Caenorhabditis elegans: one gene and its partner. The protein of the gene in region 1 purifies or fractionates together with the protein of each later gene. This does not show direct contact. Each region holds a gene or a part of one and is shown in the gene's direction. Other genes may lie near its edges. The genes, in order: R05D3.9 and C05D9.3.

Evidence for each region.
Region 2: the proteins of R05D3.9 (region 1) and C05D9.3 fractionate together in Caenorhabditis elegans (co-fractionation; one large-scale study listed by BioGRID). This does not show direct contact.

Annotation. Positions count from the first base shown.
Region 1 is NC_003281.10:8,356,133-8,371,519, reverse strand, and holds R05D3.9 (uncharacterized protein), read left to right. Parts: upstream 1-2,800; 5' UTR 2,801-2,828; coding exon 2,829-2,911; intron 2,912-3,512; coding exon 3,513-3,600; intron 3,601-3,648; coding exon 3,649-3,736; intron 3,737-3,854; coding exon 3,855-3,952; intron 3,953-3,998; coding exon 3,999-4,084; intron 4,085-4,130; coding exon 4,131-4,211; intron 4,212-4,628; coding exon 4,629-4,731; intron 4,732-4,784; coding exon 4,785-4,995; exon of another isoform or gene 4,996-5,181; coding exon of another isoform or gene 5,182-5,620; intron 5,621-5,675; coding exon of another isoform or gene 5,676-5,840; intron 5,841-5,887; coding exon of another isoform or gene 5,888-6,073; intron 6,074-6,122; coding exon of another isoform or gene 6,123-6,411; intron 6,412-6,490; coding exon of another isoform or gene 6,491-6,677; exon of another isoform or gene 6,678-6,678; intron 6,679-6,723; exon of another isoform or gene 6,724-6,874; intron 6,875-7,019; coding exon 7,020-7,088; intron 7,089-7,135; coding exon 7,136-7,295; intron 7,296-7,324; exon of another isoform or gene 7,325-7,343; coding exon 7,344-7,544; intron 7,545-8,180; coding exon 8,181-8,301; intron 8,302-8,343; and 7 more. Other genes in the region: Putative zinc finger protein R05D3.3, read right to left, coding at 5,182-5,620, 5,676-5,840, 5,888-6,073, 6,123-6,411, 6,491-6,677; rfp-1 (E3 ubiquitin-protein ligase bre-1), read right to left, coding at 9,432-9,510, 9,977-10,357, 10,407-10,795, 10,924-11,544, 11,636-11,761, 11,824-12,307, 12,357-12,496, 12,546-12,713 and 1 more; Putative RNA-binding protein R05D3.8, read left to right, coding at 13,256-13,378, 13,429-13,576, 13,626-13,921, 13,975-14,064, 14,186-14,284, 14,354-14,533.
Region 2 is NC_003284.9:1,105,186-1,120,199, forward strand, and holds C05D9.3 (Integrin beta epidermal growth factor-like domain-containing protein), read left to right. Parts: upstream 1-6,730; coding exon 6,731-6,877; intron 6,878-7,537; coding exon 7,538-7,645; intron 7,646-7,763; coding exon 7,764-7,848; intron 7,849-7,908; coding exon 7,909-8,050; intron 8,051-8,095; coding exon 8,096-8,159; intron 8,160-8,997; coding exon 8,998-9,120; intron 9,121-9,227; coding exon 9,228-9,376; intron 9,377-10,042; coding exon 10,043-10,115; intron 10,116-10,196; coding exon 10,197-10,297; intron 10,298-10,403; coding exon 10,404-10,473; intron 10,474-10,903; coding exon 10,904-10,993; intron 10,994-11,065; coding exon 11,066-11,275; 3' UTR 11,276-11,666; downstream 11,667-15,014. Other genes in the region: ife-4 (Eukaryotic translation initiation factor 4E-4), read left to right, coding at 45-282, 701-857; C05D9.4 (uncharacterized protein), read left to right, coding at 2,882-2,936, 2,980-3,091, 3,372-3,438, 3,617-3,784, 4,776-4,925; C05D9.7 (uncharacterized protein), read right to left, coding at 12,162-12,349, 12,736-12,886, 13,280-13,393, 13,450-13,551, 13,973-14,104, 14,150-14,212.

The DNA of each region.
Region 1 (15,387 bases):
ATTGAATCGAAATTATTGGAGGTTTTGGAAATTCTAAAATAATTGCTAAAAACAGTTTTGAAAAAAACATGCATTTTCATATGAAAAATTCGAAATTGATTAGCTATACAGGTGGTAAAGAGCGAGATAGTGAATTGAAACAAGGAGGAATTCTTTTTGTCTTCCTTTGACTAATTTACGGTTTCTTTCGCCACAAAAAGCATCCGAAACGCGAGAAAAATATATGTGTCAATAAAGATAATAGGTCGACGTTGACTTAAATTTCGCAAGTAAAAATTTCCAACTCCTGTGTGATTTTAGTGATTGCAAAGAAAAACAACGACATAAAAAGAAGGGTTCAAAGTGTAAAGGCTGCGTGAAAAGAGAGTGAGGCGAAATGTGAAATGGGTAATCAAGATTAGATAAGAGACACTGAAAAGGAAACAGAAACTGGTTTTTTCACGTGAAAATTCGAAAAAAAAAAAACAAAATAAAAACATAAAAATGGATCAGAACCATGCACGGACGCTCAGTGGTGCAACCACTCTTACAATTTGAACGCGTCGAAGAAGAAAACCGAGAGAGCATGAGGAAATAAGAGACATAGAAAGACAAAGAGCGTGTCGATTCGAATCGAGATGGCTGGTTGGAGGAGGAGGAAACACGCACTCTCACGTGCTGAAAGGTTGTATTATTGATCAGTTGAGCTCTAATTTATGGTATTTAATTATTTTTGCGTTAAAAATGATGTCAATTCAAGAGAACAGAAAACAATGTCAACATTGTTTTTTTTTCGAAACCATAAGATGGTTCATTTCACAACTTTAGAAAAATCGAAATTATTCGCATAGCAATAACTAAAACTTATGTTTTACACCTGTATAGACAGTCTTAAACCCTAAAGTCTTAAAGGCCTATAGGAAGCCAATATCACTTCTGCACGCAAGGAAAACAGTGTTTCTGTTAAAAATCACGCTTTAGCAATTTTCTAAATTTAATAAATCTATTATAATAGTTTTTGTGCTTTATAACATTGGAACCCCCAAGAAAACGAAAGAAATAACTGTTAAAATTAATAAACTAAAAAAAATTTAAGTACTCCGAGAGGAGTTCACAAAGGCTGCGTGGTGAGACCTATGCAGCTAGAGAGCACGTCGAATGGAGAGACCGAGAGGAGAGTGGGGGCGCGAGTTTGAATTTGAAAGTGATTTGCATTTATTATTAAATACAAAAATTAAAAAAAAACTGTATTCAATGTTACACAAAGATTTCGATGAATATTCAGAAAATAATCTCTAGATTTCTGACGGCAAACATCAAAGGAAAATAAGAATTTGAATCAGAAGGTTTGACAGGAAAGTAAGAACAAAAGCTTATTGACCAATCAATCAAACTTACAAATTCCAAATCAACCAAGCTATTTCCCGAAACGTCAGTTTTTGCGAAGTTTTTTTTTTCCGAAATATCCATTCAATAAATGTTTACCAAAGTGTCAATGAATTGAACGCAAAGAAAGCAGAGACACCCACGTGTCTCTTTTTCTATTTTCAACTTGAAAAAAGTTTATGATCTAAGGAACAGGTGTTACATATTTGATATCTTAAATTTTGCAGAAAACGAGAAAAATTGCATTTTGAAAAAAAAAGTTATTTTCATTCAGATCACGAGATGTGTATGAAATTAACGTCAACGGAAGTAGTAATGCGAATCAGAGAATGTTGTATAACTGAATAGAATGATAGGAAGATTTATTCTGATAATTCATGTGTTGTGATGATAAATAAATAAGCTTACCAAAACGCAAAAACAATTATTTTATCCCGAAATATCTGCGAATCCATGGGAATTCGTTGCAAAAAAAATAATTGAAAACGTTTGAGATATAATAAAAGCGAGAAAATGTGTGTGAAAATTTGCAGCTGATAGACTGAGGCTTATGGAATTGGGAAGTTTGGAACTAATTTTTCAAAAAAAGTATGATAGTCGTGAAGATTTCGAAAACGGAAACAAATCAAAATATTTTATCTAACACTTACATAATTAAGTAATATTAAATCTTCCAAAGCTGAGATTTAGTCCAGCGTTACACAGAATTCTGAGAATACGTACATACATATTGCGCAACATATTTGCCGCGCAAAATATCTCATAACGAAAACTACAGTAACTCGTTGAATGACTACTGTAGCGTTTGTTTCGATTTATGGAAGTAAATTTTCATAATGGATAAAATTTTAAAAGAAAACACAAAAAAAGAATACAAAGCATTACGAAAAATGAAAAATTGAATATCGCTGTCAGAATTCGAACAGAAATTCATTTCGAAAATGGAGATCCCGTGAATCGACACCAGTGCTACAGTAGTCATATAAAGAATAAATGTAGTTTTCGCAACGAGATATTCTATTCGTCAGGTATGTTTTCCAATGTGCATTCTCAGAATGTAGTGGTCAAGTAATAGATTTTCATTTACATTTCAAAAAACATAGCACCTTACAGTACTCCAATAACCCTTGAGTAACAGTGTAGTTCAAAGCGAAAGACCTTGTAGACTTAGGTACTTTTGTGCCTGCTTTCAGCACTGCTCTCTCAAAATTCTCCACACAATAAAAACACCAAGAGCTTTTCCGTTATCATCCCAGTCAATCAGAAAAATCCAATCAATTTCCATAACCCTTCTCCTCCTCACACCACACAAACACACACTTTACCATCGTTCCCGTCATCAAAAGAAGGTCTTCTTTTCTCCGGTTTCTCTCGGTATCTCATTCCCAAGGACATCTCTCGACTTCGTTTGCCCATTCATTCTTACTTCTTATTGTCATTCTTGACATCTATATTCTTTAAAAATGTGGCCGTCGAATAGGGGTCCTACATTGTTTCAATATTCAATCAGGTGTCTAGGATTTGTGGCATTTATCGGAGTTGTAAGGTAAATTTTTGAGGGAAAGGAGACATCAAGAAACTGTCTCAACTAGTGACCTAGATTCAATAAGTTGATGGATTAGTTGAAGAGTGCCCCGGTTCACAATATAAATTCTAGATTGCTTCAATTGGAATATTTTTAGAAAACCTGATAGTAGCTGAAAATTACAGTTATATGGCTCAACGGAGTTGAGTATTCAATCAAAATTATTCTTTTGATTAATTGTCAAGTTTGGTGGGCAAGAAAACTTTTCTAAACCGCTCCTATGGTGCTAAAATGACCAAATAACAGTAAAACATTTCAAAACTTTGTTGAAATGTTTTTTTTTTTCGAAAATGAGGAAACTCAACGTTACTGTAATAATTTTGAAGCCGGCTAAAAATTTTATGTTTCAATGTTGATACCAGTTTTAAAACTTTAGCATTCTGGAGGTTTGAAAATCACTCAAAAAACCCACATTTTGAATATTTTGGTAATTTAGCAAAACTTTGACTGAAATTTTTGAACAGTCTAAAAAAGTTTTTATTTATGATATTTAGTCGTTGTGGACGTTTATTTAGAGCCGTAATATTTTTCATTCAAATGTTCTTAGATGACATATTTTCAGATGTCACTGTCCTCATATGATGGGAGTTAAACCTCCGGGACCACCATCTGGACCAAGCCCGCCTGGTAAATTTCCTGATGGAGATGAGGTGATCTACTTTTGAAATTTTTTAAAAATACTTTTGTATTTATTATAGGGATGGGATTACGATGAGACAGCTGCACCAGGAATTGTTCCAGAGCCACATTTTATTCAATCTACGTATATTTATAGATCTCCAAATGGTAAGTATTGCGGTACAATTTTTTCCGAAATAATATTTATTCCTTGATAATAAAACTAAATACACTTTACTTCAAAAAGCCCAAAAATAGAATAATAATTAATTGTTTATAATTCCAGTTCAAGAGAAGACATTTTCTTCGAGAGTGGTGAATGTACTGAAAGATATCCGAACAAGGCTTGCTAAATCTGCAAGACTTACATTGGAAAATGAGAACGTAAGCTGAATTTTAAATATTAGTAATTTCAAGGTGAAACTTCCAGATTGAATGCTCTTCTCCTACAGATCACTATAGGTGTCAGGAATATCCTGCTTCAGGAACTTGGAATTATTTGATTGTTGAAGATCAGTAAGTTCTTAAGCTTTTTCTAAAAACCCAAATCTTAAAATTCCAGACAAAAAGGGGCAGTTACGTATACATTCGATCGAAAGTTCAATGAGAAAAATGATGGAACTATTGAAATGGCACTTTTGGAGTGAGTTTCCAATTAATTTTATCTGGAATATGAGTTTTTATTTGTTTTATTTGTTTCCAAATATCAACTGCTCTTTCACATTTTTCAGTGAATTTTTTTTTCTAATTTGACAGAAAAAAGATCTTGAAGGGTACGCGTAGGTAGTAGGTAGGCATGTAGGCATCAGGAGGGAAGCACACTCATATGTAGCTAGGCACCTGGAAATGGGACAGAGACCTAACCAGACAGGAAGGCGCCCAGACAGGTGTGTAGGTAGGACGTGCCTGGTCCACCTTAATTTCCAAATTAAACAGGCACCCGTGCCTTAAGAAAAAAGGCTGTAGACACGTACGATAAAATGATATACCATTTTCCGAGAGCAGCCAAAAATCATTGTCATTTTGATTTTTCATTCATATAAATAGAAAATAATTCCAGTGCATTTTCTCGTCATTCTCCATCATCTCTAATTGCATTTGCATCATCTGAAGCTGAAAAAGAAGTTGGATATATAAGAGCTTTAACAGTTCAGGAAATGGATGTATGTTTCTCACTTTCCAAACTACAGTAGTATTAACGTCTTACACATTTCAGTCTTTGAGTGGAAAACGAAGCCATCAAAAAATCTCAATGGAAAAATTTGGTCCAAACGAGCTTATACTTCTGGAGCCTGCACTTCTAGAGGTTCGAACTGGCGCGAATCTCAAATTGAACTCAGATTCCTTGAGAAGAATCGATTCAACAAAAGAATTTGATAAACTTCTGGAGGAGTTCAGAAATGTGTTCATTTTATTCTGGAATAGCAGTGAGTCATTTTTTGATACAATATTTATTTGAACAATGGGAGGTGAAATTGGAAAAACAAAAAGTTGTCCAATATGGAAATGATACAAGAAGAGATTGGGGAATGTGTGGCCTTTCATATGGGAGTATTGAAGACTACAGGATGAATTTAAAAGAAAAATAGACAAAAATTTAGAAATAAATGGTTTCAGACTTCGGCTAGTTCCTTCTTGATCTCACTGGGCCCAGGTTCATTTGAATCAGTGATCGAACTTCCAGCTCCAACCATCTTCATCAAATCCTCTAAATTGATCTCAAATCCTTCCTCCAGTTTTATCGACATCGTCGGAACACCTCCTTCTTCGTCTTTCACAATTTTCAACTCGGTCTGCTTGGCTACATCGGTATCGTAGATTTTCTTGAGAACCTTTGTACGTTGTCTTCGATGATAGTTGGCAACTTTCGGACGGACTTGGCTCACAGACTCGATCACCACAACCTTATTTTCAGCTTCTTCTGCAAGCATCATTTGGAGAGCTTTCTCGTCAAAGTCCTTGTTTTCTCCGAAATCACCATCTTTCTTTTCTTGCATTGTGTCGATGATTTTACGTGTTCTAGTCACACATTCTTCAGCAAGGCGATCAACTCTGAAAATTTTGGACTGTAGTAGTACGGTAGATTTCTTGAAATTTCATGACTTACTCCATGGCAACATGAAGATCCACATCACTAAGCATCACAACTCCTTCAACACCTTTGTGCTGAGTTCTGATGTGTTGATCTACAAAGATTTCACGACGTCTGGCATAGCTGCACGCGGAGCACTTGTATGGACGGTAGTTCAGATGAGCTTCGATGTGATTCTTTCTGGAATATTCAGATAATTAATCGAATCACTTTCGGGAAAAACGAACCGATTTCTCGAACAAATCCATTCGTTGCAAATCACACACAACACGTTCTTGTATCTTCCGAATGCAGCTTCACGAAGTTGCTGAATCTCAGATGTAGGACCAGAAGCAGATGGCGAAGCAGACTGTGCAGCAACAACTGGAAGCATCACAAATCTGGGCACGGGCTTCATGCTAGTACATGAACCTCTGGAATGAAATATTGAGGTTTTTTTAGTCTTTCGGTAGTTTAACACACCTATTTTGTGGCACAGCATCTTCTCCGAGTGCCGAACTCAACGTCACAGAGGAATCACCGGATCCTGCATTTTGCGCCGGCTCCGAGACTGGTTCCCGTTTGACAGCTTTTATGATAGAGTGAAACTTCTGCTGCTGCTTGAATGGAGATTTTGGAGCATTCAGAGGACCGATTGGGTTCAGAGAATTAGGTGGCATTGGAAGAGCAGCGACGTAGTTGCCAAGAGTGTTCGCCAGATTTTCATCTCCACCAGCTTGGATGTATCCGTGGAGAAATTGCCGGAACGCAGCTGAAAATTGAAGCATATTTATTTTAGATTTCAAGGAAAGTTATCAAAATATTTAATTTGATGACAAAAAACAACAAACCCAAAAGAGTCAGATAGTTCAGAGCATGAGGCGAAGTCGGTGGTGGGTTGGGTGCAGTCGAAATCATGGATGCAAGGAGTGGAGATGAAGTCTCAAGTGGTTCTTGTTTCACTGTAGTAGCTGTCTTCTTCACTTCCAACGATGATTCCATTTCGATTAGACGTTTTCTCATATTTGGAGACTCCATTCTGGAAACACAATTTCAGTTAGCTTTTGCCGAACAAACCATAAACCTTTAGAAGACGTAAGCAGTTCTGGATCACTGTGTTCTGGATAAACAAAACTCGAACTGATTTATCTGGAACAGTTTGTCTTCGGCACTTGGATGACCCTACTTGAACTTTCGACCTCATGGTGACCTATTTGACGTGGTGACCCGCAGAACTGAAAATTAAGATATAGACAGGTGCAGAGAAATTGGATTCTTCATGCGACGTGATATTGAACATTTAGCACGTGAAAGTTTTGAATATATTTTTCAAAGTTAAATATATACAAGGTTTTTTTTAAGTGTTAACCAAATTTTCAGATAGAATGGTCAGTCTTCATACATTCAATCTCTGGTCACGAGTAGCCGACAAGATAAAGATTTCTGAAGGTTTTCCATAGAAATTTAGAGAAAAATGGCAATTTTATAACTTGCAGACACTCTTTTGGCACATGTTCCCTGTCATGACAACGCTGATTTTTGTCAGGGCCTCAACTCTGAAGACTATCATACTGTTGTCTCGTATAGAAATGGGCAGAATACTGGAAAAACCGAGAATATTGGGGACGTGGAGTTTTACGAAAATTGGGTTGAATTGTGAGTAAATTTTTAAATTTAGATATTACTTTAGATAAATCCTTCCAGATCACTATCCGGAGCGATTCAAAGACTTCCAAATGAATCGAAGCTTTCCGAGTTTAAGAAAGGAATTGTTGGAGGGAAGAAGCGATCATCAGTGACAATTGGAGTATTCCCATCTGATCAGGATACATCTTTTCAACACTTTCAAATTGCCGCTGAGAAGTTATCTGGAAAATATTATGTAGCTTATTTTATAAACGAAAAGTAAGTTGGTTTAAGATAGTAGTCGCGATACGATCAAATATATTTTAAATAAACCTTTAAGGTTTTGTTGGTTTTTTTTAATCGAAAATTATTGTTTCGAAGAACAATAATAACTGAATAATTGAAAAAATCGCGTTTTGTGTAATTTTAGATGTTATTGAACAATCAATTGGTTTGAAGTGTGTTCATAGACTTTCAATTGCCCCTAGCACAATTAAAAAAGCAGAAAAAATCATGAGAAAATATGAAAATAACTTAAAATTATGCTGAAAAAACAAATTGACAAATTAATTATTTGATTATCCGAGAGGAGTACACACGAAGGGCGCTTATTTGCGCGCGGAATTTAAAATAGTTTTTTTTCCGAAACTTCGAAAACCTATATGTATCCTGAATAACGAAATTTGTCTAATGTTTCGATTATAAAAAAACGTCTTGCCAGAGAATATATAATGTCTTAAAGAAATTTGCAATTTGGAAATGTGGAAATGTGGAAAAGCAGTAAAAAACGAGAATAACGTGCACTACCGTACTCCTCAAAGGCGCACATTCCTTTTCGTAGCCTTCAAAAAACAATTTCCGATCGTGTCGAGACCATTTTTTTCCAGCTGAGTAATGATAATAATCTTTTTTCAGCTCAAAACCGGCCATAACCACATATCGTCATGCTGAAAAACAAAAAAGAACGGATTATTCAGGAAAATTTGATCCAGCCACTTTGATGGAGTTTATCACAAAATCTTCGATTCCTTCAATTGTATGTTTCTATTTTATATCAAGAGAAAATTTCAAGTTTTAGATTGGTATTTCAAATGGTTTCACAACGGATCTACTGTTTCATCAAAAACGTCCAATTCTTATTCAAATTGGCGGCGCAGGGGAATTTGAGCCTTTCTCGAAGTTGTCTGCTCGGCAAGATGCTCGGAAAACCTATATTTTCACAAAAATTGATGGGGAAAGTGAGATGATTAAGAAAACCAAAAAAGCATTGGGAGTTGGGGAGAACGAATCAATAATTGTGTTTTTGAACAAGGATCGAGTGCATCGAATTCCAATTTCAAAGCCTAAATGCCCTGATCATCTTCAGAAAATTCTCCAGATGATTATTACATCTGAAGCGGATCGTGAGTTTTTCCAGATACTTAGCCATACGCGAAGTTTCGTGATTTTTGTTGAATTTAACAAAGAATTCATCGTGCCGAGACCGAAATTACAGAAGTTCTCTCAACAAAAGAGCCACATCCATTAAGATATCTTCAAGTTGAAAAAGTGAACGAAGTATTCGGATTCGAGGAGACTCTTGTTCTTCCAGATCACACACTTTTCCTGGATTCCGATGTAAGTAAAAGTTTTGTTTCCAGTCAAATAAAATCTCTTGAATTTTCAGCCATTCTCTCGTCATCCACCAATTACAGAGGGTGGTGGTGGTGGTTGCCCATTTATGCAAGGAGGTGGAGCACCAACAGAATCTAGTCAACATTCAGAACTTTGATATATTATCATCATGCATAATTTTTGAAACAAGAATAACTATTACTATACATTTTTAATAAAATGAGAAAAAACATAAGAATTTACAACTTCAAAATTATATCAATATCAACTTCAACAAAGTTCATAAACTTGTGGATGTGTGCGTGCCGTGGCATCATCACGGAGATTCAGAGTATCAGAACAGAATTCAAATAATATAAGCCGACTAACTATAGAGATAGTGATTCAATAACTTGATAGGATGAGACAGTTTAAGATAGAAGCTTAGAAATTGCGCTGTGAGAGGTGGGGGGAGGGGAAGGGACCAAAACAGAGAAAACGGAGGACAGAAACCCATGTTGAACTGAGAGATTGAGAAAATGAGGAAATTTACTAAATAATTTAATGGCGGTTCTAGATGAAAATACGATGGAAGTCATTGGCTCCGAAGTTGCTGTTGCATTTCGGGCATTTCCGTTGACGAGTGTCGTACCTGGAATTTTTTGAATCATAAGCTAGAAATGCGAGATATCGCTTGAATATGTATTTTTCGTTTTACTCCGACGCGAAATTTCAAGCTGAAAATACACGACAAAATGTTTTGTTAAATGGGAAAAGGTGTGCGTCTTCAAAGAGTACTGTAGTCTCAGACTTTTGTTTTAGCGGAATTTTCATAACTAGTTGCACTTTTTTATTAGTTAAAAGATTGTGAGAAATAGGTATTGTAATACCAAATTCTCACAATTTGTTAAAATTCGGGTTTTTTTTAAATTTCATATTCAGTTGACATTTTTTATCGAGAAACTATGAAAAATTGATGAAAATTTCGTAGCATCAAGAGTTTGAAATTACAGTACTCTCTAAAGACGCGTGTCGATACATTTTTTTTAATTAAAAATTGAAAATTTTTGCGTCTAGGTCAAACCAACCAATTTTAGTGTTTGAAAAATGAAACTAACATAGTCTTAATGCAAGTTTCACAGAATAAATGATAGCATTTGAGCATAATACAATCCTTTGGCCTCGTTTTACATGATGGACAAGTCAGTGTTTCTTTCATTTGTCGATTCGCTTCCTCGAGGACTTGATCACCACTTTGAGCCGGTACAGACTCATTTCGTTTTACTCGTTCATATTTAATTCGAAGCGTCTCAAGTTCCTCTTCAGCACGTTGTCTCTTGAATTTAAAATCTTCGATTTCACGTGCCTTGGCAGCGTATAATTCTTGAATTTGCTTCATTTGACCTTCACATCGATCCGCTTTAATTTGGTTTTCGTCTCGTGACATTCCAACTTCTTGAATGTTCTTTCTATGTTGTTCCATCAAGTTTGTGAGACGTCTAAAAAATGATATTTTAATTTATGGATTTCTTAACATTCAAAACTAACGTTAATTCGGCAGATTTGAACTGAACTGATTCCGACAGTTTAGTTACCAACTCTTCATTTGCTTTCTTCTCAAATTCGTGCATTTTTGCTATTTGAGCATCTGTTTGTGCTTTACTTTCCAAACAAGACAATTTTTCACGCAATCGATTAAATGTCTGATTCTGAATCATTCGATCATTCATCATTTTCAGATTTCGATCCTCCTGTTCCCGCTTCTCAATGTACAGTTGAGCATTCCGTTCTTGTTCTTCTTCTACAGCTGTTCCAATGGCTTCTAACTCATCAGATATGCATTCTTCGTCATTAGTCAGCATTTCATTGGTCTTACGAAGAGTCTCCAATTCGGACAATTTATCAGCAATTTGACGATTGACTTCTTTCTGTAAATTCTCACACGGGATTGTAGAGATATGAACAGACGCAGAAATAATGTTTTAGAGTTTACTGAAAGTACCAAATAACGAAAGGACGTGTACTTTGAAAACACATTTTTGTCAAATAAGGTACAATGACTTACTTCGACTTGTTTCTGCTTCTCCTGTTTTTCCATTGCTCCCAGTCGTTTTACTTCTTTACACAAAGATTCGTATTCTTGACGAATTTTATTAACATCTTCCGGTGGAGCATTACTAACGTCTTCAAGAGGAACAAGTAGACATTTATCCTGGGCTTCTTTCAGTGAAGTTAACTCAGACTTGAGAGTGTTGATATCTTTTTGAGATTGCTTATCCTTTTCGCGCAAACGAATTTTCTCTGATTTTAACGATCTATTCATAGATCGTAGAGTATTCAAAGTTGCTTTCATTTCATCCCACTCGCTTTGCTTCACCGTCTTATTATATTCTTCCTTAACAGTTTCGAATTCGCAGCGTAGAACTTCACTGTCATGAGATACTTTGTAGAAAGAATTGTGAATATCCGATTGACATTGAATTTCCTTCAGCGTCTTCTGATGTTCTTCAGACATTAGCATTGCACGAGCTTCCTTTGCACTGCGGAAAGCATCACGTTCTGTTGTGATATCTTCAAGATCTTTGCTGACTCGCTCGTATTCTTTAATTGCTAATGAGTAGTACTTTTTAAGATTCTTGTATTCCTCCGAGTTGACAATTGAATCCACAGAGAAGAAAGTTTGTGTCTGCAACTATTTCAGAGGTAATAGAAGAAATTCGGGTAAAAATTTCATATTTTTGTAATGGATAAAAATTAATATATAGTCAAAACGGTACCTCTAGTCTTAGCTTGCTATTTTCCTGTGTTAATGTTTGAACTTTTTTATTCATCTCCTCGAGATCTTGAAGGCGTCGTGATGCAATGGATTCCTGTTCATCTCGTTCAAGACGCAGATTTTCGATCTGAAATTATTTTTTAAAAATGCGTTATTCATTTCGATTGATAAAAAATTTTTAAATCTCACTTCTTTTGCAGCTGTTTCACTTGGTGGAATATCTGGAGCTGATATCTTCTTCTCAGTAGCATTTGTTGTACCCGACGAAGACGGTGTCGCCCCTCCGTTCCCTCCAGACTGTCCCTCCGAGACGAGGGTGGCTAGTTTGTACTCAAATTTGTTAGCAAGACGCATATGTTTGTCAGTTTCAAATCGGGCATCTTCCAATTGATGTTCTAATTCTTGAACTCTGTTCTCTTGTACAGAAAGCTTATCCGTTAGAATACGCTTTTTCCGTTCCAAATTGTAACAATCGCTTTGAACTTTGGTAACTTCGGATTGAAGCTTTTCATTTTGTATAGCTAAACTTGCTGCTTTGGCTGTAAGCTCCTTATGGACACCATTTGGATTGAAGGTAGGAGAATCGATCAATGTTTTTAGTTTATCGATGAAAATGGTGGATTCGTGAGCCCGATCGTGGCGCGCTTTAGCATACGATACGAATGCATTCCGTCTATAGAAATATGTAAATTAAGAGTGAATTTTAATAATTTAAAACTCACAAATTCTGCTTTGCCTGATCAAAGAACTTGTTATATGTTTCATTAGTCATTCCAAGAACGTCTATACCAGTTGGTGCAGTGTCTCCTCCGATGTATTCTCCAAACTCATTCTTAGTTTGTGTACATATGTATTTCTCAATCTGAAAAAGAAAATAACTAATTGCAATCTGAAAATAAGTAAAAACGTACATCTGAGAACATATTATAAACCTTCAGAAAGTTGCTTTCGTCTGTCTGCTGCCGCCTCTTGGACCGTTCATTTTCTTTTTCCAATTCGGCTATTCGCTTATTTTTGTACAACAATTGCTGCTTTAATTTAGATGTCTGATAAACTACGGCACGAGCTCTTATATCGTTCTGAAATCGTTAGGGATTATTAATAGTATCCTCGATTTTAAATGAAAGACATACCACGTTGCTAACAGCGGGCATTCGGACCGGTTCGAATTGAATTTTGCGTCGTTTTTGTTGTCCATCGTCACTCGGGCTACTTGCATAATTTTCTCCTCCTATACCTTCATTACTTCTTTTCATCATACCTGAAATCAATACGTTTCTAATATTGTATACAAAATGTTAAAGAGATGGTAGAAAGCAGGGAAAACAAGGAAAAGATTTTAAACATATTAACGGATACTTAATCAATGTTTTTGAACAGATTTGATGACAATTTTATTGTTTTTGGAGTGCAAAAAAGGTGATTACAAAAAGATTTCCAAAGAGACATTTCAAATGGCACTCTTTTCGTTGCGAGACCTGAGTGAGAGAGTGTGTGACTACGGTCAAGAGACGGAAATGGGGTAGATTTACGACCGAACAGCATTTACGAGACTTGCGGGACTTTCGAATTCTTAATTCGTTTTTTTCTCCTCAAATTTCGGTCTTTCGTCCAAATAACAATGGTAAAAAGGATTTTTGTGCAAGGATTGGATAGCTATACAACGGAATCGACAGTTAAAAAATATTTTGAACAATTTGGAACTTTATACGAGTGCATTCTACCTCCTCCTCCTAGATATTCGGTACAGAAACTCTTGTTCTGATAGAAAATGTCATTATTTTCATTTTATAGGTATTCGACAATGGACCAGACGAGGAGAAAATTTCAACACGATCATCGATTCGATATGAGCCTGTGGAAAATGATGATGTATTAGATGACGAGCTCGATGTCGAACGATACGATGTTGAAAAACACGGCGATTTTGAGAGTTACATGAGTACGTAAGTTCGAAAGCTTTTGAAAAAAGTAAAAATGCCGAGTTCCAGAAAAAATTGGAGAAGGTGAAGCATTTATCAAAGAGCCGAGAAAGACTAGCGCAGGCTACGCCTACATCACTTTCGTTGATTCGAACGGATATTCAAATTGCATGAAATCAGATATTCATGAAATCGATCGAGCCAAATGCACTGTTGAGCCAGCAAAAGATGAAAATGATAAGAAGTTGAAAGTAGAATCAAAACGACTTTTTGTTTCTTATTTTCCACTAGACAGATTAACTTCAAAAGAACTGAAAATGAATTTTGGAGCCTACGGAAAAATCACAGATGTAGAATTTGTCAGTGTAAGTTTTTAATTATTTGTATGTTTATTTCATGTTAATTTTTATTGTTGCAGGATTCAGAAGGGCCGCTTCACTTCTGCATTATAACTTTCGCAGACTCCAGATCTGTTGATGTTCTTCTAACCAAGTCAATATACATCAGGGTGAGAATATAGAATGCTTTCAAAAAAAGATGCGACTAATTCTTCAACAAACAATATCAGGCGTAGTCATCAGGACTTGATTGCAACCTCGTATTATAACGCGTTATGAAACATTTTTCAGGATGTTCTGATGTTCACCCGACGTGCTGTATTGAAGGAGTCCGTTAAAATAGCGGAACATAAGATAAAAGAGCAGGAACAACAAAACCTCGTGCAACTAGTAAGTTTTATAAAGTTTAAATAAATTATCTTGTAAAACGTGTTTTAAAATATTGCATTACATTTTCAGCCTCCAAATCACACTGCTTATCTAACGCCGTCACGTCCCGTAACTTCTGTACATGCCTCATCATCTGCTTCATCAAATCACTATGATCCATCTGCAGCAGCAGGATATGCACCACTATATCATCAACCACCAGAATCAGATCCATTGTCTCAATGTGGCTATGGACCGAGAAAATGGTAGCTGTGATGATCAAACAAAACTCATATATCTCAAATTACGGTTTCACTTAATTCGAAGTTTACGAACATTGATTTTAAAAAATAAAATTGATTTATCTTCGAAGTTTCATTCTCTCGTAACTTCCTTTATTCTCTACTAGTGAGCGCAGTGAGCGAATGTTCTGTGAGTGTTTGAAGAGGCCGTCCGTTGTCCCTCTGACCGAGAATAAAACATTATACAAAATGAAGAGAACACAGGGAACCACGGATGTATCTCTGTGTCTCTTCACGATGCCAATACATTCCTTGTATCCCTTCGAATTTCTTTCTCCAACTCTTTCTACCACCCAATACTAAAGTCTTCCCTCGTCTCTTTTCCCGCCAAACGAATGAATGTTGTGAGTGTGTCTCTCCTCTCGTTTCACTCTTTTTCAATGAAGCTTTTGCACCGACCATCCTCTAGGTCCCACCACGAAAATCTACTGAACACAATACTCCCACCTGCAGTGTCTTTTCTCTCTTATCGTTCTTTTTCGCATCCGAATCGGTCTCCCCCGCCTTCCTTCACCATCTGCCGTATCGTGTCGTATTGGCCATTACTCATTGTCAATTTGATGACCATATTTGGTTTGAGTCTCCTTATTTGCCCTCGGATATCCTCATCTTGTTTAGTTTGTGTATTTATCTATGAAATTTATTTAAAACCGCATTTATCCATATGTTATTGCATAATATTGAAGCTAATATTCATTCCGAAAAGTTAAGAGACAAGTATCGTGGAGAAATGTTAGTTTTTGGATTTGCGATTTCAGTTTCACTTTGTCTTTCTTGTCACTCAGTAAACCCGTTCAGAATATACCCAGATTTAAACCAAAT
Region 2 (15,014 bases), on another chromosome or scaffold:
AGATTTCCCTTCCATTCCATTCCATAACTTTTACTTAATTCCAGAAATGTGCGACAAAGCTGACATTCACTTCTTCAAAACTGGCGTCAAACCAGTGTGGGAAGATCCGGCGAACTGCAAAGGTGGAAAATGGATTATCCGACTGAAGAAAGGATTGTCGACAAGAATTTGGGAGAATCTGCTCATGGCAATCATTGGAGAGCAGTTTTTGGTTGGAGATGAGCTCTGTGGAGCTGTGTGCTCAATTCGCAATCAGGAAGATATTATATCATTATGGAATAGGTTAGTGCTGGAATTTAAAAATTAAAACTTGGAGTATTTGGGAACTGGAAAACGTGAAAAAAACAACAATGCCAAATTGTGCAAGACCGACAAAAAACAACTGAAAACATTTCACACCATAAATCTTAAAAAGTCTTAGTGGAATTTGAAAATGTCAAAAAAATCTACTAGTGCTTCTGCCAGATGTGAAAATAGTGTAATTGCAAATTTTGTTAGCATATCTTTTGAATGAACGCGCCTGTTGCTTCAAGAGGTCACCAAATCTTGTTAGAGCTCCACTTTGTCAGATCAAATTTTGCGTAATTTTACACTTATTATTTTCTGCAATTTTACTTGGAAAGTAGAACAGTTGTGGAAAATTGAATCAACAAATTTGCCATACACCCTGATGACATTCCCAACTACATCAATTTTCCAGAAACGCAGACGACACCCCAGTAACCAACAGAATCCGAGAAACTCTTCGATCGGTGCTCCAACTGCCTCAGAACACGGTACTAGAATACAAACGACACGATGACTGTCTCAGAGATCAGAGCTCATATCGTCATACTACTAAAAATATCTGCAAATGATCATGCTGCTTTACTATTATTTTTTTCGATTGGGAATCATTTTGGGTCCGGAGAAAAAGAAAATGAGAGGAATCTCGTTATTGGTTTTAATATATTCTGTATAATGACTAGTTTTATGATTTCAAGTTTTTTTTTGAATATGTGGTTTAGTCTGGCGGCTCTTGGAGCTGATGGACACTTTTAAATAAATTTATTCTATTGAAAATTAATTGAAGAATTCTGCATTAACCAAACAAAATAATTTATTAGATTTTAAAGAATCATCATTAAATGTTAAAGGAGTTGGTGCATCACGTTACTTTCACAACCCTACATTAAAAAAAAAGTTATTAAAATACAGTCGTTTGGTAATCATCATGAAAAATGGACTCACGAGATGTCGACCGCTTTAATTCGTTCCATAAAATTTAAATAATATAGACATACAAAAACATATAGACCGAGCCATGAGCTATGTTTTGTTAGTTGAAAGTGTTTTGATAGCATCTCTAGTTTTGGAGTTATTCTTATTTGAAAGTGGATATCTTCTTGGCCAGCACTGTACTACGTGATGACCTAATTTTCAACTATTCAGCTACAAAATCAGATAGCTCAAAGTCGAAAATATATACCCCTCTTTTTTCAAAATTGCAAGCAAATTCACTAACGAAATATAAAAGTTTATTGGAATTAGAAGTGTCAACTGTAAATGCCACGTGGCAACCTCAGATTGAATCGGATGTTTCAAAATTCGAAAGTCCATAACCAAAAGTCGACGCACCTGAGTTATCCGAATTGTAAGTACATTACAAACTGAAATATATAGTTTTGTCTAAATCTTACGGAAACTGCCTCCTGCTGACCTCAATTTCAAAACTACAACTCCAGCAATTAGGTTAAAATGTAGTTCACAAAATGTACAACATTTTGTTACTTGACAATTTTTCTGTATCTCTAAAAAGAAGTGAGATACACTATCCAGAAAGTGACCATCTTTTCCCCCTCGAGCCCCCAACAGCTTCTGGATTTATATATTTTATTTAAAACTCAAAAACCGCAGGGCGTCGTGGCGGGCGTCTGTAACCTAGCCGGGGGCTGTATTCAGGGGGAGTTGACATCAAACCCTGTCTTTCTTTCATGATGTCATTACTAAACAAACTAAATTTTCTTAAGTGGAGCTTAACTCCCAAAAAAAAAATTTTTTTTTAATTTTGCGCGCGCGTGCACGTGGCATGGCCTCTTCGACCTTCAAAAATTTAATGCCCTATATCTCAGCTTAAATTAGCGATAGAAACCTGAAAATTTATCTATAAAGGTTTTCGACTCTGGGCTTTCAGAATTTTAAATGACATTTTAAAAATTAGGTTACCACGTGGCAATTTTTTTAAAAATTTCTTTGCCTTTTTTGCAAGTGCGCATTTAGGCCATAAGCGGCTACTAGCTAGAAAAAGCGATAAATTTCTGAAAATTTATGTGACTAGGTTTTAGACTGTGACCTTTCAGAATTTGAACATTTAAAATTGAAGTCATCGCGTGAAAATGTTGTTTAACTCGTATACATAGCTTTGTATTTCCCTGCTGAAAGTATGTAGTCATCTTAAAAATCAGACATATAGGGTTTCAACAATGAGTTCTCAGATTCTGATGTAAGCAACTTTAGTTTATACCTGTCCAATTTCTCAATCAAATAAAAATGTAAAAAAGAATCACGTGGAACCTCTCAAGCTGAAGTATTCCGCCTGAACCAACCATTTTTTTATGTACAACTCTGTCTCCAAACCTCTCAAAACCCTTCAAACTTTTAGCTCCTTGATTTCTTTGTAAATCTATTCCACCTCGATAATCCATCTTTGTAACCTCTCTCAATCCTCATTTAGACGTCAAGGATACCCCCTACCATTAGCCGCCCTCCGAGGAAAGGAACAAGTATAATTGTACAAGCCTAATGTCACCCCATTTGATGGACATGTGTGTACTTGTTCCATTAGCCACCTACCTTTTTTCATACTTTTCCATTTCAACTATTCAATCTATGTAGACTACCTATGGATAAATTTCATTCTCTGCTAGTAGCAATATTTCTGTTGAGAGCTTTGGAAGGTAAATAATATGAAAGTTATTCAAAATCAATTAATCCGTTCAGAAACGTATTCAACGTATCATGGAAATATCTATGGAATCCAGAAGTTGAAGGGCAACAAAACTGGAAAGTCGGTTTATCAACATTTTTGGTTTAAAAGGCATCATGTGCATTTGTGAGTTCACGTATTAATTTTAATTTTTACATTTAAAGTTAGGTGCTTTGACTGTAAGATACAAGTTGTCAGAATTTGAAAAATGTGGTGTGAATAGAAGTTGTCACGTGGCATTGGCAGCTGACATTTTAGATTATTAAAAGAAACTTAAAAATAGAAATAAAACATTATTGTCATTAATTTTGAAAAAAAATGTGAACAAACCCTTTAATTTTTATCTCAACAAGTAATCAATTTCTTTGCCTAAACTGCATTTTTGTGTGAAAATATTATGTTGCAGAAGACAACGGTACCCAAAAACGCTAATGTTTGCAAGGATGTCGATGAGCCAATGCTCCAAGAAAAAAGTAATATTTATAAAAAAAATTAATCATGACAGGTACAGACAGTCAGAAAACGCAAGTCCAGATAGGTTTTTTTTGAAATTTGTTTCAAGATTTGAACTATAAACTTTCAAATTTATATGTTCCCCCAATCTTAAACAACTTTCAACAGATTAATTTAAAAAAAAACCCCCCTTTTCAGAACATCAAAATCATACAAGTAAAACGAATTGGTGGTGATTACCCATATGGTCCAAAACTGTCATCAATCTCTGAAAACCAGATATGCCGCCCCACAACAAGCCGCTCCTCCTCACCTCATTTTTCTTCCATCGCTTTTTCAACTTCCCGACAACTCAACTTTCCCAAGGTCCGTTTGTTGGTGTGTTGCATTTCTTTTTATCAATCGAGGGCTTTCCGTGCACTATATGTTGTAATACTTTGTTGAAGACCCCCTGTGTACGTTGGGTACACCAGTTGGGGAATGAGATAGACAGTGATTGATTACTTGATGCTTTGTGGTTTGTCGGGCGGGGATTGAGTCAGTAGATCCAAAGAGGAGAAAACAAATATTGTTGCTCGGGTACATGAAATTAGCAACATAGTTTCATGGTGTATCGACATGAATTGAATTTTTTTTTTAAACTTGCTAACTGAAATTTTCTAAAAATGCTTTTGCCTTTAGTTTTGTAATTGAAAAAAAACTGATATGTATTGTTAAAACTCGCAAGGGTCACCGTTGAGCAAATTTATAAGCTGGTGATTTTTCTGTCTAGAAATGCAATAAATCTTTTATTTTGAAAATAAAAATAAATAGAAAATATTATGGTTTTTTTAAGGCGAGACCTATGTACCCAAATTTGTATGTACCTAAATTTGATTTTTTTTTTCAAACCAAAATATAAACTGCAATTAAATGAAATTGATCAGTGTAAATTTTATTAATTAGTACATATAGTACAGTATAGTGTATAATATAATATGCTATAAGATAGTATAGTATAAGTTAAATGTGCTTTAAGTTTCAAATCAAATAGATTTCAAAATTGTATTCACCTAAAGTCTAACCTCTGTTTTGAAATATTTCAAAAGTGAAAATTTTTCCACTGTGAAATTCAGTGGCAATGATTCTTTAGTAATGCAAATTTGTTAGAAACAGATATACAGTTTTTTTTTATGAAAAAAATATTTACTCGTTTTCAGGTCTTTTTGGAATTGCTATGCTGTATAGAAACACTCCTAAATTTTCAAGTAGAAATTGTAAAAGAAATTTCAAATTAACTGTTCCACGTTGCAACTAGAGCTCTCTAGAAAAAATCCTTTACACTATAAATTGGAAATAACTCTAAAATACTTTTCAGAAATCTTCGAAATCTCTGAACCAAGTTCATATCAACCTGGCAAAGCGAAAACAGTGGAAACGAAACAAGGCGTGGTGTACTCATTGTGAGTCATACTGGAAGATGAAGATTAATTCGAAACAGTTGAAGTCTAGATACCCGTGCTGTTGAATTATTTTGAAATATTTTTTTATTTTAAATAAATGCCTATTTTCCGCGTGAAATTATAATTTTTACTGCAAAACGACAACCTGTGCTCATTTCTTGGATTTATACTGAAAATTTGAGTTTCAGGTTGTGCTTGAACTTTGTAGATTTTATCAACATTTAAACATCCAAACTTCTGGAAAGCCCAGTTGGTCAGTTTTATTGGCGTTTTAATTACTGTAAATTGATACTTGATAGATGCGCAGACAATTCAACTATAAAAATATTTCGAAGACATTTCTCACAAGTTTCTTACAAGTACACCAATTTGTAAATGTAGTTGTCTTCAGGAAACCCCATCAAATCCAGGATACACATATAATTTGCTCTCCGAGCACTGACCTTTTCTCCCGATAACTATACAACTTGCTCCTCCCCCTTGCAAACTCTCAGAAGTTGCCCGCCGCGGTGCAAAAAAAACAACAACAACCTTCGATATAATATCAATTCTCTCCTCTTCTCGCACATTTTATAATCCGCCGAAACTCGGAAACACACAGTTTTTATGAGTAGTGGGGGGATTTGGGACTTTAGGTCACATAACAGCTGCTCTTTTATACACATTCCGATGCTCTTTTTTCGAAGGAACTGACTTTTTTTTGGCGAATGAAATTTGTATCAAAACATTTGATATAGTGAAGATACTAAACATTTTTTGAAGTTTCAAAGTTCCGTCTTCAAAACAAAAAACAAAGCAAAAAAAAAGTTCAGTTGGTTTTGGGTGTGCACCTAGTCTCAACGCCATATGACAGAATGTAGCGTCTGCTGCTGCTGGCAGTTACGGCTCTGGCACGCCAGATGCCTACGCCTGTTGTGTTTCATCTCATACCTCTGTACTCGAGGTTTTACCCCCCTCCTACCCCCACTGTTTATTACTTTGCTCGACATGTGCTGTTCTCAAGTTATTTGGCATCCCTTAGCATAACCCACCTCCTCACGAACTTTTTTTTTACTTTTTTTTTCCCCATTTAGTTAACTTTATTGTTTAGTTTTTTCAAAAGTTGTTATCTGATTTTTCATGTTTTTCACTTCATTCCTTTATTCCGTTTAAAAATTCTAGCTTGTGAAATTTTCATGATTCCACCTAACACCTCAAAACGTATACCAACTCGTTGAATTCTTAATTTTCATATTTAACTCCAAATTGAAAGAGTTTTCTCACTTCCAGAAATTGCTAAAAATCTCAGTTCCATATTGATTTTACGCGATTTCTAGAATTAGAGCAACTTTCTGAATACAACTTTCATAACTTTCGTTATCCTTTTTTTAGAGGCTTAAACCTATTTTAACGTTATAATGTAACTGTTTAGTTTGTAAATAATGTCTACGTAAATTTATAATTTGTATTTTTTGTTGTCTGGTTTTGAAATATCAAACCCCAAATGTTAGATTTGAGAAAGCCCGTTTAATTTTGAATTTTTCTATTGTGAGTACTTTTTCAGTTCTTTAATTTTTCATTTGAATCCCCAAAAAACTCAATTACTGGGCTTGAATTCATCTAGAATCTCCACATTTTTTCGAAAACACCGTAATTTTCTGGTAAAGTTGACCCAATTTCGATAACTTTTTTTCAGATGAAAATGAAAATTGAGCCAAAAAAAAACCCTACTACTCCCGCCCTTTCTATATTGCTCTGAAACCGAGAACATTCTGGAAATCTGGTTAATTTTACAGTCCCAAATTTAATTTTTTTACTTCAAAAACCATGTTATTTTTAATATGCACAATTTCAAGTCCACCATCTCTTTTTTTTCAGAAATCATCACAAAATGAAGTCCCGGATTTTTTTTATAACATTACTGACAATAGTTGCCGCTCAAGAATCCGCAGATCAGTTATGCAGTAGTTTCGATGCCCAGCAGAGCTGTGGACAGTGTATCAAAGCACATGCAGAGTGTGCATGGTGTATTGATCCCGTATGTTTACTTTAAAGTGCAGGGGTTTTGAGAGGGGGTACTAAAAAGTTGGACGTCTTAGATTTCTGACCTTTTTGTAAAATTTGATATCTAGCTAGTTACTTTGAGTTAGTTCAAAAGATTTTCCAACTAAAGAATTATTTAAAATCGTTTTCTATTTGTATAGTTCATTCCTTTTAACTGCAAATTTTCAAAAATTTTAAAACTGGGTTTAAATTTAAATTTAAATTTTATTTTTATTAATTTTAAATTTTAATTTTAAAGCGCCACTCTACATGCACCTGAAAAATTGTAGAATATCACATTACAAATGTTATCTTAGTTTGTAATTATTTGGAAAAAACCGAAGAATTAAATTATAGGTGCTTTATGATGCTTTATGATGCTTACAATAATCGTGCAGTTACAAATTCAGAAAAATTATAAGTGCATATGCACGTGGTGTCAGGCTGTCCTATTATGGTTTGATCTACAAAACAAGCGGGAATTTTTTGTCAAAACAACTGTTACGTCAGCAAGCTCTTAGCCATGCGAAATCAGTTGAGAAGTCTGCGTCTTTTCTCTTGCATTTTTTGTAGATCTATGTAGATCAAACCAAAATGGGACACTCTGACACCACGTGCATATGTGAATACTTTTGTTTCGCAAAAAAACTTTCAGCACTCTTCCCTTACAAACCGATGCCAGCTGAAATCCAAGTTTACCAATGAGACATGCACGCCGCACTTGGTGTATTCTCCACAAACCGCTCAGGTCAAAATTCAACAAGTAAGTGTTACAGTGGTATAGATCCTCGCTGTTTAACCTTTAAAATGTTACAATTTTTGAAAGTAAAACAGCGAGGAGGCATACCCATTGGAGCCTAATTTTCCAACTTTTTCTCCAGAACTTACCACTTGAAACCAAACAGCATGATGGTAAAACCATTGTTCGACAACAGCCACAAGCGGTTTCCGTCCGTCTAATGCCATGTAAGACTTGCGTTTTATTTTTTAAATACGTAACATTTTCGATAATTTGCAACTTTGTAGCTCACTCCGCCACCGTTTCTTTCAAGTACCTGCATCAAACTGACCCAAGCAGACGGAGCACCGAACCCGAGACTATGGAAATTCAGACTTCTGATGTTAAAGATACTCCACTGCAATTGAAATTTTTCATTGTCTGTGATGGGTAGGTGAAGATTTCGAAAAACAATTTTTATAGGAATCATTTCAGAGAGTTGAAGGAGACCAAGTCGTGCCGTGTGCAGAATAATCAAATCGTTGAATTTAAGATTGAAGTGAGTCTTTTTTTGTTGAAAATTTTGTTTGATCTCCAAAACTGGCAAAAAAAAGTTGTGGATTGCTCGTCACTGATATGGAATCTGCCTCGATTTTTCGAAAACATAAATTTCTCCTAAAAATTGAATTTTTTATCAAAATCTGAAGGCAGTGACCTAGGCAGGTGCCTCTTTTTGAATTATTGGTCGTATGTTTTCAATTTTGATGGTAAACTTGTGAAAAAATGGGGACAGCGGTTTTTTGACATGCTAAATCCGAATATAAGGTTCTATGGTAATCATTTAGTTTTCCAATATTACCAAATTTGAGAGGGGTTACCATAGCTGCAAGGCAAATTAAATTTAACAAAGGGTCGCCCATCACTTGGTTTTTCAAATTTTAATTTTAAAAAGCCCCGCACGTGTTTTCAGCTTGACCATTCGGTGTTATTTGTGCAAACACCGTCACGCGCAAATGTAGACATTTTTGCACGTGCGGTTGTGAAATTCCTCTTGGCGAATTCAAATATTTTTCCCGCCTTTTTTGAAAATTTTCGAGGCGTTGGTCTAGCTGAATAAACGTGTCCTGTGAAACACAATAAAAAAGGGCATACCTTATAGACACACCCCTAGTAACCAAATTTGCTATTCAGGTACGCTAGCAGAGACCAAAATCTGCTACTGAAAAAAGCAAAAAAGTCGCTAACCAACAAGACAAGTAAGCAAAAAGTACAGAGAGCTGATCGACACTAACCATGGTTCTAATAATTTTTTTTCTGACCAAAAGTGCTACGCCTAGACAAGCTACAAATTTTAAATATTGATCCACGTTTTATTTCCGAAATTTCAAAATTTTCAGGTTCTCGTCAACTCGTGTTCCAGTACCGGCGATATTACACTATCAGTAGGTATTCTTAGACAACGCACAATTGCTGGCCTCTACGTCACCACGATTTGCGGGTGTGAATGCGAAAAGCATCCGGTAAGATGATCCCAGCCACTTAGCACTTTTTACGAAATTTGAAACTTTTCTCTTTTGTTTCCTAATCACTGGCAATCATCAAAAAAGAATAATATTTTTTTTCGCAGGAAATCAATTCTCGATTGTGCCATCAAAACGGACATCTCGTCTGCGGACAATGTGTTTGTGATCAGTCACGTGGTGGGGATAAATGTGAATGTCCGCTTGCTTCGCATGGAGTTTCCAAGGCTTCTGAATTGGAGGACAAGTGCAGATTGTAAGATTTTTGAAATTACAGAGCGTGAGAAACTAAAGTTCTCAATAATACAGTCAACATTAGATGTTTTTAGCAAAGACTAGTCTGCCAAATTTGACTTTTTTTTGAATTAGGGAAATACATAAAGTTGCTGAGAATTACACTGACAATATTTACACTAAATGCAATAACCATATTGAGAGAGCACGTGGTGTCAGAGTGTCTCATTTCGGTTTGATTTACGTAGATCTACAAAAAAATACGGGAATTGAGACGCAGAGTTCTCAACTGATTTCGAATGGCTAAGATCGTGTTGACGTCACCTGTTTGGGCAACAAATTCTTGCATTTTTTGTAGATCGAACCGTAATGGTACAGATCAGAAACTGATCAAACTGTAATCCTTTGAACTCTACTTGCAAATAAATGTTTCCTGGCAAAACAATGTCAAGCTGGGTGATTTGTATCGTTGAACTCGGGGCAGCAAAAATGACGAGTTCTGACCATATTTTGATAACCGAACTACCAAAGTTAGGTTGTTGTATTATATACCAATGACGACCTGTTTGATCCTTTGTGCTAAGGTAGCCTTGCTTAGCCTTATAGTTTCGGAGTTCTGGAACTCTATATCGGGGACAAAAACCTTCAGAAGTAGAGTCCTCTCAAAACCAATCGAGTATTTTTTCAGCAATTCATCTTCCCCAGTATGCAGTGCATCTGGAAAATGCAAGTGTGGACAATGCCAATGCAACAAACCTACTGTAAGTGGTGTTACCCTCATAAAAATAACTATACAAAATTTTGTGTTGTTTTGAAATTTAATATCTTGTTATACATCATAGGTGACCGGCAAGTTTTGTCAATGCGACAACGACAGCTGCCCGTTGGCGGTCAATGGAAAAGTGTGCTCTGGAAACGGAGTGTGCGACTGCGGAGTTTGCAAGTAAGTGGTCGTAGTAATAATAACATTTGAGTGAACAAAAAATAGAACAATGAAATTCGTATATGTTACATCACAATCAGCTTTACAAATTCGTACTTTTTGCCAGATGCGAGATGGGATGGGAACGTGATGATTGCTCGTGCTCGACGGCATCCAACAATTGTGTGGACAATGGGGTAGGTGGTTGGGGGTCTGAAAATGTGAAGGCCAGGGTGCATGCATGGAAACTAGTTTATTAGTATGTCACCTTATTTGTCTTTAAAAGAATAAACTAGCTTGATATTGCCTGTGAATTTGAGTTTTCTGGAAAAGTGCAAATTGATACTGCATGTTGTTCAAAAGCTTGGAAAAACATCTCAAAAATATTTCTAATTAATCATCCAGCAGTGTATAAATTGTAATTCATTAATAGATAAGAAAATGGCTGCAAGTCTAACAATATATATTTTGTATTGTGAAAACTTTTTGACCTTAACATTCTTAAATTTATTTTTTCTAGGCGGTGTTTTTTTTCTGGGATACTTTGCATATTCAAAATTCTATAACACAGGTCCTCTTTGCATTGCATGAATTCACTTTAAACCTCATTCTTTTTACATTTTGAAGGAACTGTGCTCGAATAATGGGCGGTGTGAATGCAATCGTTGTGTTTGTAATATGGGGAAAACTGGGGCCTTCTGTGGATCTGACGAAAAGGTGAACTTTGTAGAGCTAGATAACGTCTTCTAATTGTACGGCTCAAAATCACAATGAATTTAACATTTTCAGACACCAGCCCCAGAGGAGAAGGATAAGCCAGAATCGGTGCCGGAGGAGCCAGAAGCCACTGAAAAACCAGACGACATGCCGTCTGACAGTGATCTTGAGAAGGAACTGGATGAGTCATCGAGTGCGAAGGAAGAGCAAACTTCCTCCAGTGGAGTTGTGTCGCGAGTTTGTGTATTGTTAACCTTTTTTCTTCTTGTTCTGAATTTTTAAGTAAAGCAATGAGCTCGATTTTCGATTTCTAGATTGCTCTTTCATCCTCTCTCGGTTTTCGAAAGTTGAACCCCACTTCTTTACACATGTTTCTAATGATGCATGTGTATTATAGGTACTTAATTTAATTTGGAAATTGCTGTAAAAAAGTGTACCGCTTTTTAAATGTGATTTTCAGGTTTAAGAGAAACCTTTTTTAGCCTGAAAAGTTAAAATAATTTAGTTTTACTTTCAAAATGCGTGCCTATAATACACAAGTTTTTTTTACCTTATATCTACATTTCTCAATATGGTTTATTTCTAAACAGTCAACTTGTCATACTTGGTAAAATCATCCGTTAATTTATTCAGAGTATCAAATTGTACTTGATATGCTTTTGGATAAAAGTTTTATTTTCTCTCAGTTTGAATTCAAAACATATGGAAAAGGGGGGTGTTTTTATTTTTATTTTTGTAGGTGTTAGAGGTGAAGCTTGCAATTTGTAAATTGCAAAAAAAATTCTGGAACTTCAAACCAATAAAAAAATAAATCTTCGTTTTTCAGTAAATTTAAACTCTGAGATTTAGGCACTATAAAAATTTCAGAAGCAAAACTCAACTCTGAATATCTGAAAATTGAGCCCGAAATATTTTCAGATACAGATAGATAGGTTTTTTCAGAAACGGATATTTTCATATTTTTCCTCGTATTTTTCTCCTTTTTGGCGATCTTCAAACATACTCTGCTAAAATATTATATTATGAAATTTATTGGAAGAAAAAATAATACATTTATCAGACCAGTATTTGACAATGTGACGGAAAGCATTAGAATTAATATAATATGAATTATTATTTCGAGATGCTCAAAATATTACACCAGAATTCAAATATTACTCCTGGTCCCTTACGCACAATAAAACTCGTCTCCAGCAAACCGTGCCTGGGACGTGCCAACGTGTTGCTGATAACGTTTGTACCGAACTTGGTCAGCGATTGACATTGTGCAGTGGAATGCCACACGGCAGACGTAGACGGAGACTGAGAGGAATGTTAGTGAGAGGCACCAGCCGACAATGCACAATTGGAACGTGGCTGGAAATAAAGTTTACTTGAATACTAGAAAAATTTACCATGTGAAATGGAACTGCTTTGCATTCTTCTTTTTTATCAAATAAAGTGTTGCCTTTGCACTTCATTTAAAAAATTTAGGTTATGGTGCATCGATAAGTCCAGTGTTTGAGCTCGATTGAAAATAATTGAAATTTAGTGATTTACTTGTGCTCCTAAACTCCTAAACGTTGACAGTGTATTTCTGCTTGCTTTGGGTTTACGAAAAACTGGCCAATTGACATGATACTTCTTATTTATTTTATAATGATTTAGTGGGAAATTACTTCTTGATTTTTTGATATTTTTATGTGCGAATCAAAATTTAGATTTAAGTACAGTTTCCGATCAAGTTTTCAACAATCACTTACCATCTACCAAATCCAGCTTGAAATGTGTAGAAACAAGTTGTGCACCCATTTTTGTGCACTGCAGGAAAAACATGAAGAGCTCACTTTCCGGCTTGATAAGCGCATAGGTAAAAGCCGTCAAGAAGACGGCACTGACAAATGTTTCAAGAGTCTGAAAACGGAAATTGGTTGCAGAATTGCTTTTAAAATACATTGACGTATGAATGTTCGTAACCCCTCGTGGGAACGATTTGAGCCGCTTTCACGTGGCGTCAGGCTGTCCCATTACGAATTAATCTACAAAACATGCGGGAAATTTTCCCCAAAAATGAGAAGTTTGCGTCTACATTCCAGAAATTCTCGTAGATCTACGTAGATCAAACCGAAATGGGATAGCCTGACACCACGTGTGATTTATTATTAATCCACGAAATAAAATTTTGAGCCACTAAAGACAAGACCAGCAGAAAATATTTTCAAAGTGATCCGAGTACGCGACTTGTACAAGTTTTATGAAAACAATTTTGAGTCGCTACGAACACTTTTAATTTCTTCAAAAACTCACTCTTAAAACAACGAATGGAATGCAGAAAAATGGCTGCTGGCGGATGATACCAATGTGCATCATGAGACTTGTCAGCACAATTCCACCCATTACTGCCGAGACGTATAGGATAAACTGAAAACATTTACGGGTTAAAATTTCACATTGGAATCAAAATAACTATGCTTTACCTTGTTTCTGATCCCATTGTAATACATAAAGGCATTGAAAGCAATCACAATAATGGCAAGGGCACAGTAGATGAAGGAAATACAATGGGCAGATGAGGACTCCTAAATTTCTGATTATTAAGTTGAAAGTTCAATCAGGGAATTTGCTCCGAACTTTGAATACCACAAATTTATAACCAGATCAACATCATATGAGTGACCTTCAAAGGGAAGGGAAAAAATGACATAAAATTGATTAATTCTCTTGCGGTTTTAATTATAGGCGCGTCGGCCTTTTATGTACCCAAATTAACAAATAAGAGCAGATGGGTAGAAAAAGGAAACATCAATTTTTTATGTCTTCTCTTGGTATTCGGCAGAAAATTTGTAAGAAACCAACATGCAAAGTAGCAAAGTAACGGAAAAAACCGACTCCCTATTTCTATGATAGAAAAAAATTTCAACATTTTTACGCGGAATCTATCGAGTTTTCGTTCCGATTATTCATTTGAAGTTATCCGTTTTTTTTTTCAAAAATCACTACCTCTTTGCCAGATCCCCGCTGACTCTTGGCAGATGTTCCTTGTTCTGGCTCTCTTCTCATCGGCGCCGACGACGGATTGTACTCCTGGCCGCTATTGTTTTTCGGCTCAAATCCTCCGTAGTAGTCATCTCTCTGAAATTGAATTATCAATGTTTGCAAGACATCGTTTGAAACTACCTGTGAATATGTGGAGTATGTGTAGTAGTCTGCAGTGAGGCAAGGTGCTGATGGTCTTGTCATTTTTGGGTCTGAAAATGAAGGTTAGAAATGAAGGGGTACAGAAAAAAGAAGAAAGAAAAGAAAAAAATTGCAACGACACTATCATTAAATTTAGAACTTTTTACATAGAATGATCCTAACTCGTAACAACTTAACTGTAAAAATTATATTAATAAATATTTTGTCAGTTGAAATGGTCTGACTGAACTAATGGGACAGCTACGGTAAATTGACAGCACTATGGCTCAATTTTTCGTGATATTTAACTTTTGATTTTTGGGCATACAGATAAGTTACTCTCGAAATTTATCAATCGATCCTTGGACTTTTTTGTTCGGCAGAGGCTGGCGGAGTTTACAAGCGTACGACGAGGTTTAACTTTTTTTACAGTTTTATAAATGGGACATAGATGAATATTTCGAATGCTAAATGCAAAAAGAATCAGCAAAAAGCTCACAGACCTGTCATTTTCTGCCGAAAAACGTCGTTTAAGGATCGATTGCTAAATTTTGGCAGTAATTTTGGGCACCGTTATTAAAAATATTTGTTAAAAGTAAGAAAAAGTATATTATTTCAAAAGTGAGCAAAACATGTTGTCTATTTCAAATGAGAATATTAAAAATTAATTAAAAGGTGCAAGTTAAAGAAGGCTGTAAAAAAATTAGCGTATGTCAGATCTATGTAAAAGTTGAATTATTAGTAAGACTGTATATTGTAGTACAGCTGGTGGTGTTCTTGAAAAAATTTTCAACATTGTTTTCGACTTTGTCAAAAGTTTTTAAAAGATGTCTTTGTAATGGCCAAAAATTTGGGATTTAAAATT